3 linked regions of the Stegostoma tigrinum genome follow. The protein of the gene in region 1 binds, or shares a complex with, the protein of each later gene. Links are inferred from orthologs where the notes say so. Each region holds a gene or a part of one and is shown in the gene's direction. Other genes may lie near its edges. The genes, in order: ORM1-like protein 3, sptlc1 and sptssa.

What was found.
Region 2: the proteins of ORM1-like protein 3 (region 1) and sptlc1 are in contact, whole or in part, in a cryo-EM structure (PDB 7K0N), measured with the Homo sapiens proteins. The link is inferred for Stegostoma tigrinum from reciprocal best matches to the Homo sapiens genes ORMDL3 and SPTLC1. Residues at the interface, in NP_001307730.1 of Homo sapiens: Gly92, Val93, Gln94, Phe95, Thr96, Ala97, Lys100, Thr103, Ile104, Ile107, Tyr110, Phe111, Ser114, Tyr119, Gln121, Phe124, Thr128, Leu131, Met132, Leu139, Pro140, His143; in NP_006406.1 of Homo sapiens: Ala16, Leu17, Ala20, Pro21, Tyr23, His24, Leu27, Glu28, Leu31, Ile32, Trp34, Ile35, Leu38, Leu39, Ser41, Lys42, Thr43, Tyr44, Lys45, Leu46, Gln47.
Region 3: the proteins of ORM1-like protein 3 (region 1) and sptssa are in contact, whole or in part, in a cryo-EM structure (PDB 7CQI), measured with the Homo sapiens proteins. The link is inferred for Stegostoma tigrinum from reciprocal best matches to the Homo sapiens genes ORMDL3 and SPTSSA. Residues at the interface, in NP_001307730.1 of Homo sapiens: Val36, Leu38, Ser39, Ile40, Pro41, Phe42, Ser44; in NP_612145.2 of Homo sapiens: Ile44, Tyr50, Thr51, Val54, Phe55.

Annotation. Positions count from the first base shown.
Region 1 is NC_081384.1:12,493,409-12,497,153, forward strand, and holds the start of ORM1-like protein 3, read left to right. Parts: upstream 1-840; 5' UTR 841-981; intron 982-3,745. UniProt on the Homo sapiens protein: Plays an essential role in the homeostatic regulation of sphingolipid de novo biosynthesis by modulating the activity of the serine palmitoyltransferase (SPT) in response to ceramide levels.
Region 2 is NC_081356.1:51,371,030-51,374,774, forward strand, and holds the start of sptlc1 (serine palmitoyltransferase 1), read left to right. Parts: upstream 1-1,023; 5' UTR 1,024-1,042; coding exon 1,043-1,096; intron 1,097-3,745. UniProt on the Homo sapiens protein: Component of the serine palmitoyltransferase multisubunit enzyme (SPT) that catalyzes the initial and rate-limiting step in sphingolipid biosynthesis by condensing L-serine and activated acyl-CoA (most commonly palmitoyl-CoA) to form long-chain bases.
Region 3 is NC_081363.1:58,726,915-58,730,659, forward strand, and holds the start of sptssa (serine palmitoyltransferase small subunit A), read left to right. Parts: upstream 1-1,386; 5' UTR 1,387-1,512; intron 1,513-1,533; exon of another isoform or gene 1,534-1,571; intron 1,572-3,745. UniProt on the Homo sapiens protein: Component of the serine palmitoyltransferase multisubunit enzyme (SPT) that catalyzes the initial and rate-limiting step in sphingolipid biosynthesis by condensing L-serine and activated acyl-CoA (most commonly palmitoyl-CoA) to form long-chain bases.

The DNA of each region.
Region 1 (3,745 bases):
CACCGCAGCAAACCTGACACTATGGCTCCCACACCATTGGACCCACAATTTACAGCCTGCAACTTAAATGTTGAGGGACTACCCCCAAATACACCCAGACAGCACGCTCCATCCCACAATGTGGACTCAAAAGCTACCAGGGAGTGGTCGGGGGAGGTGGTGGGGATTGGAGAGAATGTGATGTTGAGGCCATGCTCAGATCGGCGATTGTCTTATTGAATGGCAGAGCAGGCTTAGGGGGCTGAGTGGTCTACCCAGGCCCCTGATTCAGATGTTTGAACAATCAAGAAACGCATCTCCTGTCAAATGAATCTGGAGTGGAGGGGTGTGTGAAAGGTCTGGCCGTGCTGCACACGGCAGTGACACTATTTCTCCAAATATTACCATCTGTGTCTCCATTGAAAACTCCTGAACCATCAATGTTGGTGTCTTCTGTATTATAAATTTCTTTAAACTCCCAATTGCTGGGACTAACAAGTTCCCTTGATCTCCCCAGCTATGTACACTGGAGACTTTTATCCCCACACTACACCTAATAAATCAATGCAAACTTCAATCTCAATACAGATCGCATCCCGCCAGCAGGTGGCGGTATTAGCTGGCGATGACCTGAGCTGCCGACCTCCCGCCAGCTGGTGGTGATGTCCTGAGCTGGCGATGTCCAGCCAGCGGCTGGCGGTATGAACTGGCAATGTCCTGAGCTAGCGACCTCCCGCCAGCGGGTGGCAGTGAGTTAGCGATGTCCTGACCTGGCGACCTCCCGCCAGCGGGTGGCGGTATGAGTTGGCTGAGTGGCGCTGGCGGTGACGCCCCGGGGTGCAGACGTCACAGAGAGCTGGGGGCGGGCCGGAGTGGAGCGGAAGGTCGAGGGAAGTTCAGTGGGGAGCTGGCTGCCGGAGGTCGGACCGGCGGCTGCGGGAAGGAGCTCAGGCCCCGGCTCCGGGCTACCCTCTCAAGACAATATAAAATCGCTCTCCCCAGGTAAGGCAAAGGACGAGCTGAGCCCCGCAGCTGCTCAGAGCCTGGGGGGTGGAGAAGGGGAGGATGGAGGGGGTGGGGAATGGATGGAGGAGGGATGGTGGTGGGGGGGATGGAGGAGGGATGGTGGTGGGGGGAGGGATGATGGTGGGGGGAGGGGGGAAGGGATGATGGTGGGGGGAGGGATGATGGTGGGGGGGGAGGGATGATGGTGGGGGGGGTGGGGGGGAGGGATGATGGTGGGGGGGGTGGGGGGGAGGGAGGAGGGATGATGGTGGGGGGAGGGGGGAAGGGATGATGGTGGGGGGGTGGGGGGGAGGGATGATGGTGGGGGGGGTGGGGGGGAGGGATGATGGTGGGGGGGTGGGGGGGAGGGATGGGGGTGGGGGGGAGGGAGGAGGGATGATGGTGGGGGGGAGGGATGATGGTGGGGGGGGTGGGGGGGAGGGATGATGGTGGGGGGGGTGGGGGGGAGGATGATGGTGGGGGGGGTGGGGGGGAGGGAGGAGGGATGATGGTGGGGGGGAGGGATGATGGTGGGGGGGGTGGGGGGAGGGAGGAGGGATGATGGTGGGGGGGAGGGATGATGGTGGGGGGGGTGGGGGGAGGGAGGGATGATGGTTGGGGGGGGTGGGGGGAGGGAGGAGGGATGATGGTGGGGGGGAGGGATGATGGTGGGGGGGGTGGGGGGGAGGGGGGAGGGATGATGGTGGGGGGGGTGGGGGGGAGGGGGGAGGGATGATGGTGGGGGGGAGGGGGGAGGGAGGAGGGATGATGGTGGGGGGGAGGGATGATGGTGGGGGGGGTGGGGGGGAGGGGGGAGGGATGATGGTGGGGGGGAGGGGGGAGGGATGATGGTGGGGGGGTGGGGGGGAGGGGGGAGGGATGATGGTGGGGGGGTGGGGGGGGAGGGGGAGGGATGATGGTGGGGGGTGGGGGGGAGGGATGATGGTGGGGGGGAGGGGGGAGGGATGATGGTGGGGGGGAGGGATGATGGTGGGGGGGAGGGGGGAAGGGGGAAGGGATGATGGTGGGGGGGAGGGGGAAGGGATGATGGTGGGGGGAAGGGGGAAGGGATGATGGTGGGGGGAGGGGGGAAGGGGGAAGGGATGATGGTGGGGGGGAAGGGGGAAGGGATGATGGTGGGGGGGAAGGGGGAAGGGATGATGGTGGGGGGGGAAGGGGGAAGGGATGATGGTGGGGGGAAGGGGGAAGGGATGATGGTGGGGGGGAAGGGATGATGGTGGGGGGAGGGGGGAGGGATGATGGTGGGGGGGAGGGGGGAGGGATGATGGTGGGGGGAGGGGGGAGGGATGATGGTGGGGGGGAGGGAGGAGGGATGATGGTGGGGGGGAGGGGGGGAGGGATGATGGTGGGGGGAGGGGGGAAGGGGGAAGGGATGATGGTGGGGGGGAGGGGGGGAGGGATGATGGTAGGGGGAAGGGGGAAGGGATGATGGTGGGGGGGAAGGGGGAAGGGATGATGGTGGGGGGGGTGGGATGATGGTGGGGGGGTGGGGGGAGGGATGATGGTGGGGGGGTGGGGGAGGGATGATGGTGGGGGGGGTGGGGGGGAAGGGGGAAGGGATGATGGTGGGGGGGGTGGGGGGAGGGAGGAGGGATGATGGTGGGGGGGAGGGAGGAGGGATGATGGTGGGGGGGAGGGATGATGGTGGGGGGGAAGGGGGAAGGATGATGGTGGGGGGGAGGGGGGAAGGGGGAAGGGATGATGGTGGGGGGGAAGGGATGATGGTGGGGGGGAAGGGGGAAGGATGATGGTGGGGGGGGTGGGGGGAGGGATGATGGTGGGGGGGTGGGGGGAGGGATGATGGTGGGGGGTGGGGGAGGGATGATGGTGGGGGGTGGGGGGAGGGATGATGGTGGGGGGGAAGGGGGAAGGGATGATGGTGGTGGGGGGTGGGGGAAGGGATGATGGTGGGGGGGTGGGGGGAAGGGATGATGGTGGGGGGGAGGGAGGAGGGATGATGGTGGGGGGGGTGGGGGGAGGGAGGAGGGATGATGGTGTGGGGGGAGGGAGGAGGGATGATGGTGGGGGGGGAGGGAGGAGGGATGATGGTGGGGGGGGAGGGAGGAGGGATGGTGGGGGGGGAGGGAGGAGGGATGATGGTGGGGGGGAAGGGGGGAGGGAGGAGGGATGATGGTGGGGGGGAAGGGGGGAGGGAGGAGGGATGATGGTGGGGGGGAAGGGGGAGGGGATGATGGTGGGGGGAGGGGGGGAGGGATGATGATGGTGGGGGGGAGGGGGGGAGGGATGATGATGGAGGGGGGGAGGGATGATGATGGTGGGGGGGAGGGGGGAGGGATGATGGTGGGGGGGGTGGGGGGGAGGGAGGAGGGATGATGGTGGGGGGGGTGGGGGGGAGGGAGGAGGGATGATGGTGAGGGGGAGGGGGGGAGGGATGATGGAGGGGGGAAGGGGAAGGGATGATGGTGGGGGGGAAGGGATGATGGTGGGGGGGTGGGGGGAGGGATGATGGTGGGGGGTGGGGGGAGGGATGATGGTGGGGGGGGTGGGGGGTGGGGGGAGGGATGATGGTGGGGGGGTGGGGGGAGGGAGGAGGGATGATGGTGGGGGGGGTGGGGGGAGGGAGGAGGGATGATGGTGGGGGGGTGGGGGGAGGGAGGAGGATGATGGTGGGGGGGTGGGGGAGGAGGAGGGATGATGGTGGGGGGGGTGGGGGAGGGAGGAGGGATGATGGTGGGGGGGGTGGGGGGAGGGAGGAGGGATGATGGTGGGGGGGGTGGGG
Region 2 (3,745 bases), on another chromosome or scaffold:
ACAAGATAATGAGAGGCATAGATAGAGTTGATAGCCAGAGACTATTTCCCAGGGCAGAAATGGCTAGCACGAGGGGTCATAGTTTTAAGCTGGTTGGTGGAAAGTATAGAGGGGATGTCAGAGGCAGGTTCTTTACGCAGAGAGTTGTGAGAGCATGGAATGCGTTGCCAGCAGCAGTTGTGGAAGCAAGGTCATTGGGGTCATTTAAGAGACTGCTGGACATGTATATGGTCACAGAAATTTGAGGGTGCATACATGAGGATCAATGGTCGGCACAACATTGTGGGCTGAAGGGCCTGTTCTGTGCTGTACTGTTCAATGTTCTATGTTCTATGTTCTAACAGACATAAGGCTCACCGGCTCATTTGACTGTGGCTCATTTATTGGCTGTCTCAAACTGTAAGTGGTGTTTTTAAAGGATCATGACGTGAGTGACGGTTATTTAAACATCTGCAAGAGCTGTGATTAATTGGAGGAGGTTGTATCTTTTAGAACAAAAGCAAATGCCTGGCTGGTCACTTCACTTTCTCCAAAGGAACATCTAATTTATTTTAGATTTCCAGCAGCTGCTGTAGTTTGCCTTTATTACACAATTTTTGTTCAGTTTTTTAAATTGTTTGACAAAGACAGCAGTGCTAAGTAAATTTGTGATCAGAGATAATGGGAACTGCAGATGCTGAAGAATCCAAGATAACAACGTGTGGAGCTGGATGAACACAGCAGGCCAAGCAGCATCTTAGGAGCACAAAAGCTGACGTTTCAGCCCTAGAACTTTTCTGATGAAGGGTTTCGGCCCGAAATGTCAGCTTTTGTGCTCCTAAGATGCTGCTTGGCATGCTATATTCATCCAGCTCCACACTTTGTCATTCCTTAATTAAATGTGTTCCCGGAATCAGCTGATTATTGGTGAGCACCACGTGATTGGAGTTGGTGACCATATCAACGATGGCAGCCGCCTTCTTGAACTGGCTTGCGTAAGTGCGCATGCGTATGTTTCTGATTATTCCATTTTTCATGCAGTCAGCTGTTATTTGGTAACAAGATGGCGATCGGGCAGCAGTGGGTTCTAGTGGAAATGGTTCAGGCTTTTTATGAGGTAAGAGAACTGTTCCGTAAAATAATTGTGAAAGTTTCACAGACTGTGGAGAACACGTAGTTCGTAATACATCTCAGAGATGAAAAGCTGGAGGGTATTGTGAACTGGTTTTATATTGAGCTAATATTGCCAAAAGGAAGTTTTGGAAATGTGCTGAATTTTATTGATAGTTGAACGAACCCGGTTTTCCAGTTATGCCTCGTTATGTCCAGAGTGACTACTTATGTTGGAACGTGAATTAGGAAGGATTTGTGGGTGAATTGTTTCAAAGTTAGATTTCTCAGTCTAGTCAAGTGGAACTGAAAGAGGTTCTAGCCAAGGCTGAGAATTGAAATTAAAATGATTCGAAATTGCATTTGATAATGTCCATGGTGACCCATTTATTACCCATTTCAAATTGCTCTGAAGAAGGAGGCAGTAAGCAACCTTTTTATCCTCGAAACCAATCAGGTTGAAAGCCTGTAGGAGGAAATTTGACCTTGCCCAATTTAGCCTTTATGGCTGGTCGAGATACAAATGGATTTTGCTCTTGATTATGATTTTTAATAAGGCCTTTGAAGCGCTTCCAGTTCTTTCTAAAAAGTGACTTGTAATTGTCATCATTTTAGATCACTTTTAGAAGGACAATTTATTGTTGGTTTGCCAACAATAAATGAATCACGAGTTCTTTGATTTAACACTTCTAAACATAAATTGCTTAATATTTATAAACCTGATGTGTTAAGTATTCAATAGGTTAAAATTTGTACTAGATAATTTGGTTAGCTGATGCTCAAAATATATTTTCATGTTAAGGGTTGTAGAAAACCTTTTCACTTTTTTTGAAGATTAGCTGTTCAGACTTATTTTTGAATTGTGGGTATCTTGTGCAAGGCCAGCATTTATTGCCCATCTCAACTTGCTCTAAAGAAGATGAGATGAGCAATCTTTTTGACTGCAAGTAATGTGGTGCAGATGCATTTCCAGGTCTGTTTTCTGCAGCAGTTTGATACAAGTGAGTTTCCGAGGTCAGTTGATCACTATAGTTTAAAAAGTGACAGTCGCATATAAGCTAGACTAATGATAGTGGAATTTCTTATGTAAAGATCATAAATGAAGTAATTTGAAATTGAGATTAGCACGTTTTTATTGGGCAGTGTTGTTAAAAAGATTTAGTTCTATTCCTATGTTGAGTAGCAGCAATTAATGCTTTGTCCTGGACAACATCACCAATGATATTGAATATTTAAGGCTACAATTGGCCTCTTTTGCTTATTACAATGCAGTAGTGGTGGGACTGGGTTTGGCTATGATAATATACATACTATATCAGAATAGAGTAGAATCCCTACAGTGTGGAAACAGGCCCAACAAGTCCATGCTGATCCTCGGAGCATCTGACCCAGTCTATAATCCACCTAATCTACACATCCCTAAATACTACGGGCATGTTAGCATGCACGTCTTTGGACTGTGGGAGGAAACCGGCGCATCCGGACAAAACCCACGCAGACCTCAGGGAGAATGTGCGAACTCCACACAGTCGTCCGAGGGTACACTTGAATCTGGGCCTCTGGCACTGTGAGGCAACAGTGCTAACTACTGAGGCACTGTGCCACCCATTACACATTCAAATCTAGGCATGCTATTGCGTGAGCAATAAAAATAAGCTTTGACTCAAGTTTCATTAAAAATTAACTTGAAATGCAGGCCTCACTGACAAAACCATTTTTTCCCCAAATGTCCTGATGTATATTTGCTCTTGGAAAGTAACCAGAGCTGCTTTTATGAACAAGCAGAACATTTGTGGTGATAACAAAATGTGGAGCTGGATGAACACAGCTCATCTGATGCTGCTTGGCCTGCTGTGTTCCTCCAGCTCCACACTTTTTGTTATCTTGGATTCTCCAGCATCTGCAGTTCCCATTATCACAGAACATTTGTGGTGGGTAGGTACTGTGTGAGTACTGAACATGAGAGTACTGTGGTACTCCCACAATACTGTCTGTTAGGAGATTCAGGGAGCCTGTGATGATTGTTGACATGTTCACAAGATTGGGTATTGCAATAAAATTATCCTCAACTGAGTAATTTATTTACTTTTAGCGGAAAACAATGACCACCTCGGTAATGATTTCAGAACAGGGAAAGTGAGTAGAGTGTCTGATTAGTTTTTATACATGCGAATTAAGTAACTTTGTAGATTGCTGCAATCTACAATCTGGAAAATGTTTTTCTTTTGAAAGAGCAAGGGCAATATTTTAATTAACTCCATTACTAACCTTTCTTGTCCTCCTCTCATCTTAATTGCATAAAAATATGCATATTTAGAACACACAGCCCCTTGTGCTTACCTCAGTTCAGTAAGATCATACCTAATCCAAAAGTATGATGCTCCTATTTACGGAAAACATTTTTAACCCCTTGCTTATCAAGAATCTGTCTCTGTCTTTAAAGACATTCAAAACCTTTGCTTTCACTTCTCTTTGAGGAAGAAAGTCCCAAAGAAAGACCGTGTAAGGAATAGTCTTATCAGTGTCTTAAATGGTTGACTTAATTTTTAAAATGGCCCCCAGTTCTAGATTCTTTCTCAAGAAGTGCCATTCTATAAGATGTAACACTTCCTTAATGCTTATTTCAGTTCTCTGTAATATCAAGACAATTCAATTA
Region 3 (3,745 bases), on another chromosome or scaffold:
AGGACCCAAAACAATGTGATTAACTCTTAGCTGCCCTCTTAATACAACTGAGTAGCTTTCTAGATCATTTTAACTCCTAAAAAGGCTCAAAAAGAAACTGAAGGAGCAGCACCTCATATTCTGCCTTGGGACCCTGCGACTCAATGATCTCCATGTGGCCATCACCAGTTTCAAAATCTCCCCACACCCAGCCTCTTCCCATGACCAACTCTCCCTCTCATCCCCACCTTAACCTGACACAACATGTCCATCTTCTCTTCCACCACTGCCTCACCTGCACTCACCTATCACCATCCCACTTATATTTCTCTATTTATTTCAGAGCTCTCTTTGATCTCCCCCATTTCTGAAGAAGGGTCCTGACCCGAAACATCAACTTTCCTGCTCCTTTGATGCTGCTTGGCCTGCTGTGCTCCTCCAGTTCCACACTGTGTTATCTCAAAAAGAAACTGGGTGGACCACATGGCATTGCCTGAGACATTAAAAAAGACAATGGCAAACTCAGCCCTCTCGCCTCTAAAAATCTTCCCCACCAATATCTGGGACCTAGTGCAAAAATTGGGAGAGTTGTCTCAGAACAGTCAAGCAACAGCCTGATATAGTCATACTAAGGGAATTATACCTTACATACAATATCCAAGAAAAAAAAACAGCATCACATTCCTGGGTATGTCCTGTCCTACCTAGTATAAACCTAGGAAAGGGGGTGGCACAGTGGTATATACCCAGGAGGAAGTCAGCCTGGGAGTCAACATTAACTGTGGCTACTGAGAAGTCTCATGGGATCAGATCAAACATGAGCATGTAAAACCCCTGCCCAATTACTACATACTGTCCTCCATTAGCTGATCAATCAACACTCTTCCAAGTGTTGTTCAATATGAAAGAAGCGATGAATTTGGCAAGGGTGTAGAAGGTACTCTGGATGGGTGATTTTAATGTCCATCACCAAGATTGGCTCAGCAGCACCATGACTGATCAAGTTGATTGAGTTTTAAAGATCGTAGTTGCTGGACTGGGTCTGTGGCAGATGGTGAGGGGTAACCATGCGTGACTTCATTCCCATCAATCTGCTGGCAGGAGATGAGTAACCTCTGCACAGTCCTTGTGGAGACGAAGTCCTACCTTCATATTGATGGTGCCTCCATCTATCACTTATTACCGCAACTATCACATGGACATACTATCACCGTGCTTTTTCTGATGAAGGAGCTAGGCCCGAAACGTCAGCTTTTGCGCTCCTCAGATGCTGCTTGGCCTGCTGTGTTCATCCAGCTTCGCACTTTGTTATCTTGGATTCGCCAGCATCTGCAGTTCCCATTACCACAGATCACCATCACACGCAGCTCAACTTTTACGTGGTGCTGCACCGGCTCTAACTGCAAGTATTCCTCCGGAGCGGAGGTGGCGCTGCCAGTGGTGGTGCACGGTGGAATAGGGCGGCTCCGGCTCCGCCGCTGTCGACGAGAAGGGGGTTGGCAACAGGACGGGGTCCTGGATAATTAATGTCCGGTAGGTTGGCTCCTGCTTGGCGGTTGGTGGTGACTCTGCAACGGGCTCCGGGGGCCCGGGTGAGAAGGTGGCGGCGTTTCCGGGCCGTGCCGTTTTCTTGGGCCCAGTGCGGGAGAACACAGGGATTTCCCCCTCCCCACCCCCACACCACCCCTTTGTCCCTCTCCCCCAGACACTGCCCGCACCCCCCGACACTGCTTTCCCTCCCCTCCCCCCCAACTCCCCCCGCACACACCCCTCCCCCAGACACTGCTCCCCCCACGCACCCCCTCCCCCAGACACTGCTTCCCCACCCCCGCACTCCCTCACCGCCTCCTCCAGACACTACTTTCCCCCGCAACCACCCCCCACCCCCAGTCACTACTTCCCTCCCCGCACGCTCTCCCAGATACTGCTCCCCCCGTTCCCCCCCCCCCAGACACTGACACTCTCACCCCCTGCACCCATCTCTCCCGCCCCCCCCCCAGATACTGACGCTCTCACCCCCCACACCCTTCCCCCTCCTGACACTGACCCCCACCCCCAGGCACTGCTCCCCCCCCCGCCCCCAGTGCCCCCAGGCACTGCTTTCCCCCCCAGTGCCCCCAGGCACTGCTTTCCCCCCCAGTGCCCCCAGGCACTGCTTTCCCCCCCCAGTGCCCCCAGGCACTGCTTTCCCCCCCCAGTGCCCCCAGGCACTGCTTTCCCCCCCCAGTGCCCCCAGGCACTGCTTCCCCCCCCAGTGCCCCCAGGCACTGCTTCCCCCCCCAGTGCCCCCAGGCACTGCTTCCCCCCCCAGTGCCCCCAGGCACTGCTTCCCCCCCCAGTGCCCCCAGGCACTGCTTCCCCCCCCAGTGCCCCCAGGCACTGCTTCCCCCCCCAGTGCCCCCAGGCACTGCTTCCCCCCCCAGTGCCCCCAGGCACTGCTTCCCCCCCCAGTGCCCCCAGGCACTGCTTCCCCCCCCAGTGCCCCCAGGCACTGCTTCCCCCCCCAGTGCCCCCAGGCACTGCTTCCCCCCCCAGTGCCCCCAGGCACTGCTTCCCCCCCCAGTGCCCCCAGGCACTGCTTCCCCCCCCAGTGCCCCCAGGCACTGCTTTCCCCCCCAGTGCCCCCAGGCACTGCTTTCCCCCCCAGTGCCCCCAGGCACTGCTTCCCCCCCAGTGCCCCCAGGCACTGCTTTCCCCCCCAGTGCCCCCAGGCACTGCTTTCCCCCCCAGTGCCCCCAGGCACTGCTTTCCCCCCCAGTGCCCCCAGGCACTGCTTTCCCCCCCAGTGCCCCCAGGCACTGCTTTCCCCCCCCGTGCCCCCAGGCACTGCTTTCCCCCCCCGTGCCCCCAGGCACTGCTTTCCCCCCCCGTGCCCCCAGGCACTGCTTTCCCCCCCCGTGCCCCCAGGCACTGCTTTCCCCCCCAGTGCCCCCAGGCACTGCTTTCCCCCCCAGTGCCCCCAGGCACTGCTTTCCCCCCCAGTGCCCCCAGGCACTGCTTTCCCCCCCAGTGCCCCCAGGCACTGCTTTCCCCCCCAGTGCCCCCAGGCACTGCTTTCCCCCCCAGTGCCCCCAGGCACTGCTTTCCCCCCCAGTGCCCCCAGGCACTGCTTTCCCCCCCAGTGCCCCCAGGCACTGCTTTCCCCCCCAGTGCCCCCAGGCACTGCTTTCCCCCCCAGTGCCCCCAGGCACTGCTTTCCCCCCCAGTGCCCCCAGGCACTGCTTTCCCCCCCAGTGCCCCCAGGCACTGCTTTCCCCCCCAGTGCCCCCAGGCACTGCTTTCCCCCCCAGTGCCCCCAGGCACTGCTTTCCCCCCCAGTGCCCCCAGGCACTGCTTTCCCCCCCAGTGCCCCCAGGCACTGCTTTCCCCCCCCAGTGCCCCCAGGCACTGCTTTCCCCCCCAGTGCCCCCAGGCACTGCTTTCCCCCCCCAGTGCCCCCAGGCACTGCTTCCCCCCCCAGTGCCCCCAGGGCCCCGCTTTCCCCCCCCCCCCAGTGCCCCGCTTTCCCCCCCCCGCCCCCAGTGCCCCGCTTTCCCCCCCCCCGCCCCCAGTGCCCCGCTTTCCCCCCCCCCGCCCCCAGTGCCCCGCTTTCCCCCCCCGCCCCCAGTGCCCCGCTTTCCCCCCCCCGCCCCCAGTGCCCCGCTTTCCCCCCCCGCCCCCAGTGCCCCGCTTTCCCCCCCCCGCCCCCAGTGCCCCGCTTTCCCCCCCCGCCCCCAGTGCCCCGCTTTCCCCCCCCCGCCCCCAGTGCCCCGCTTTCCCCCCCCGC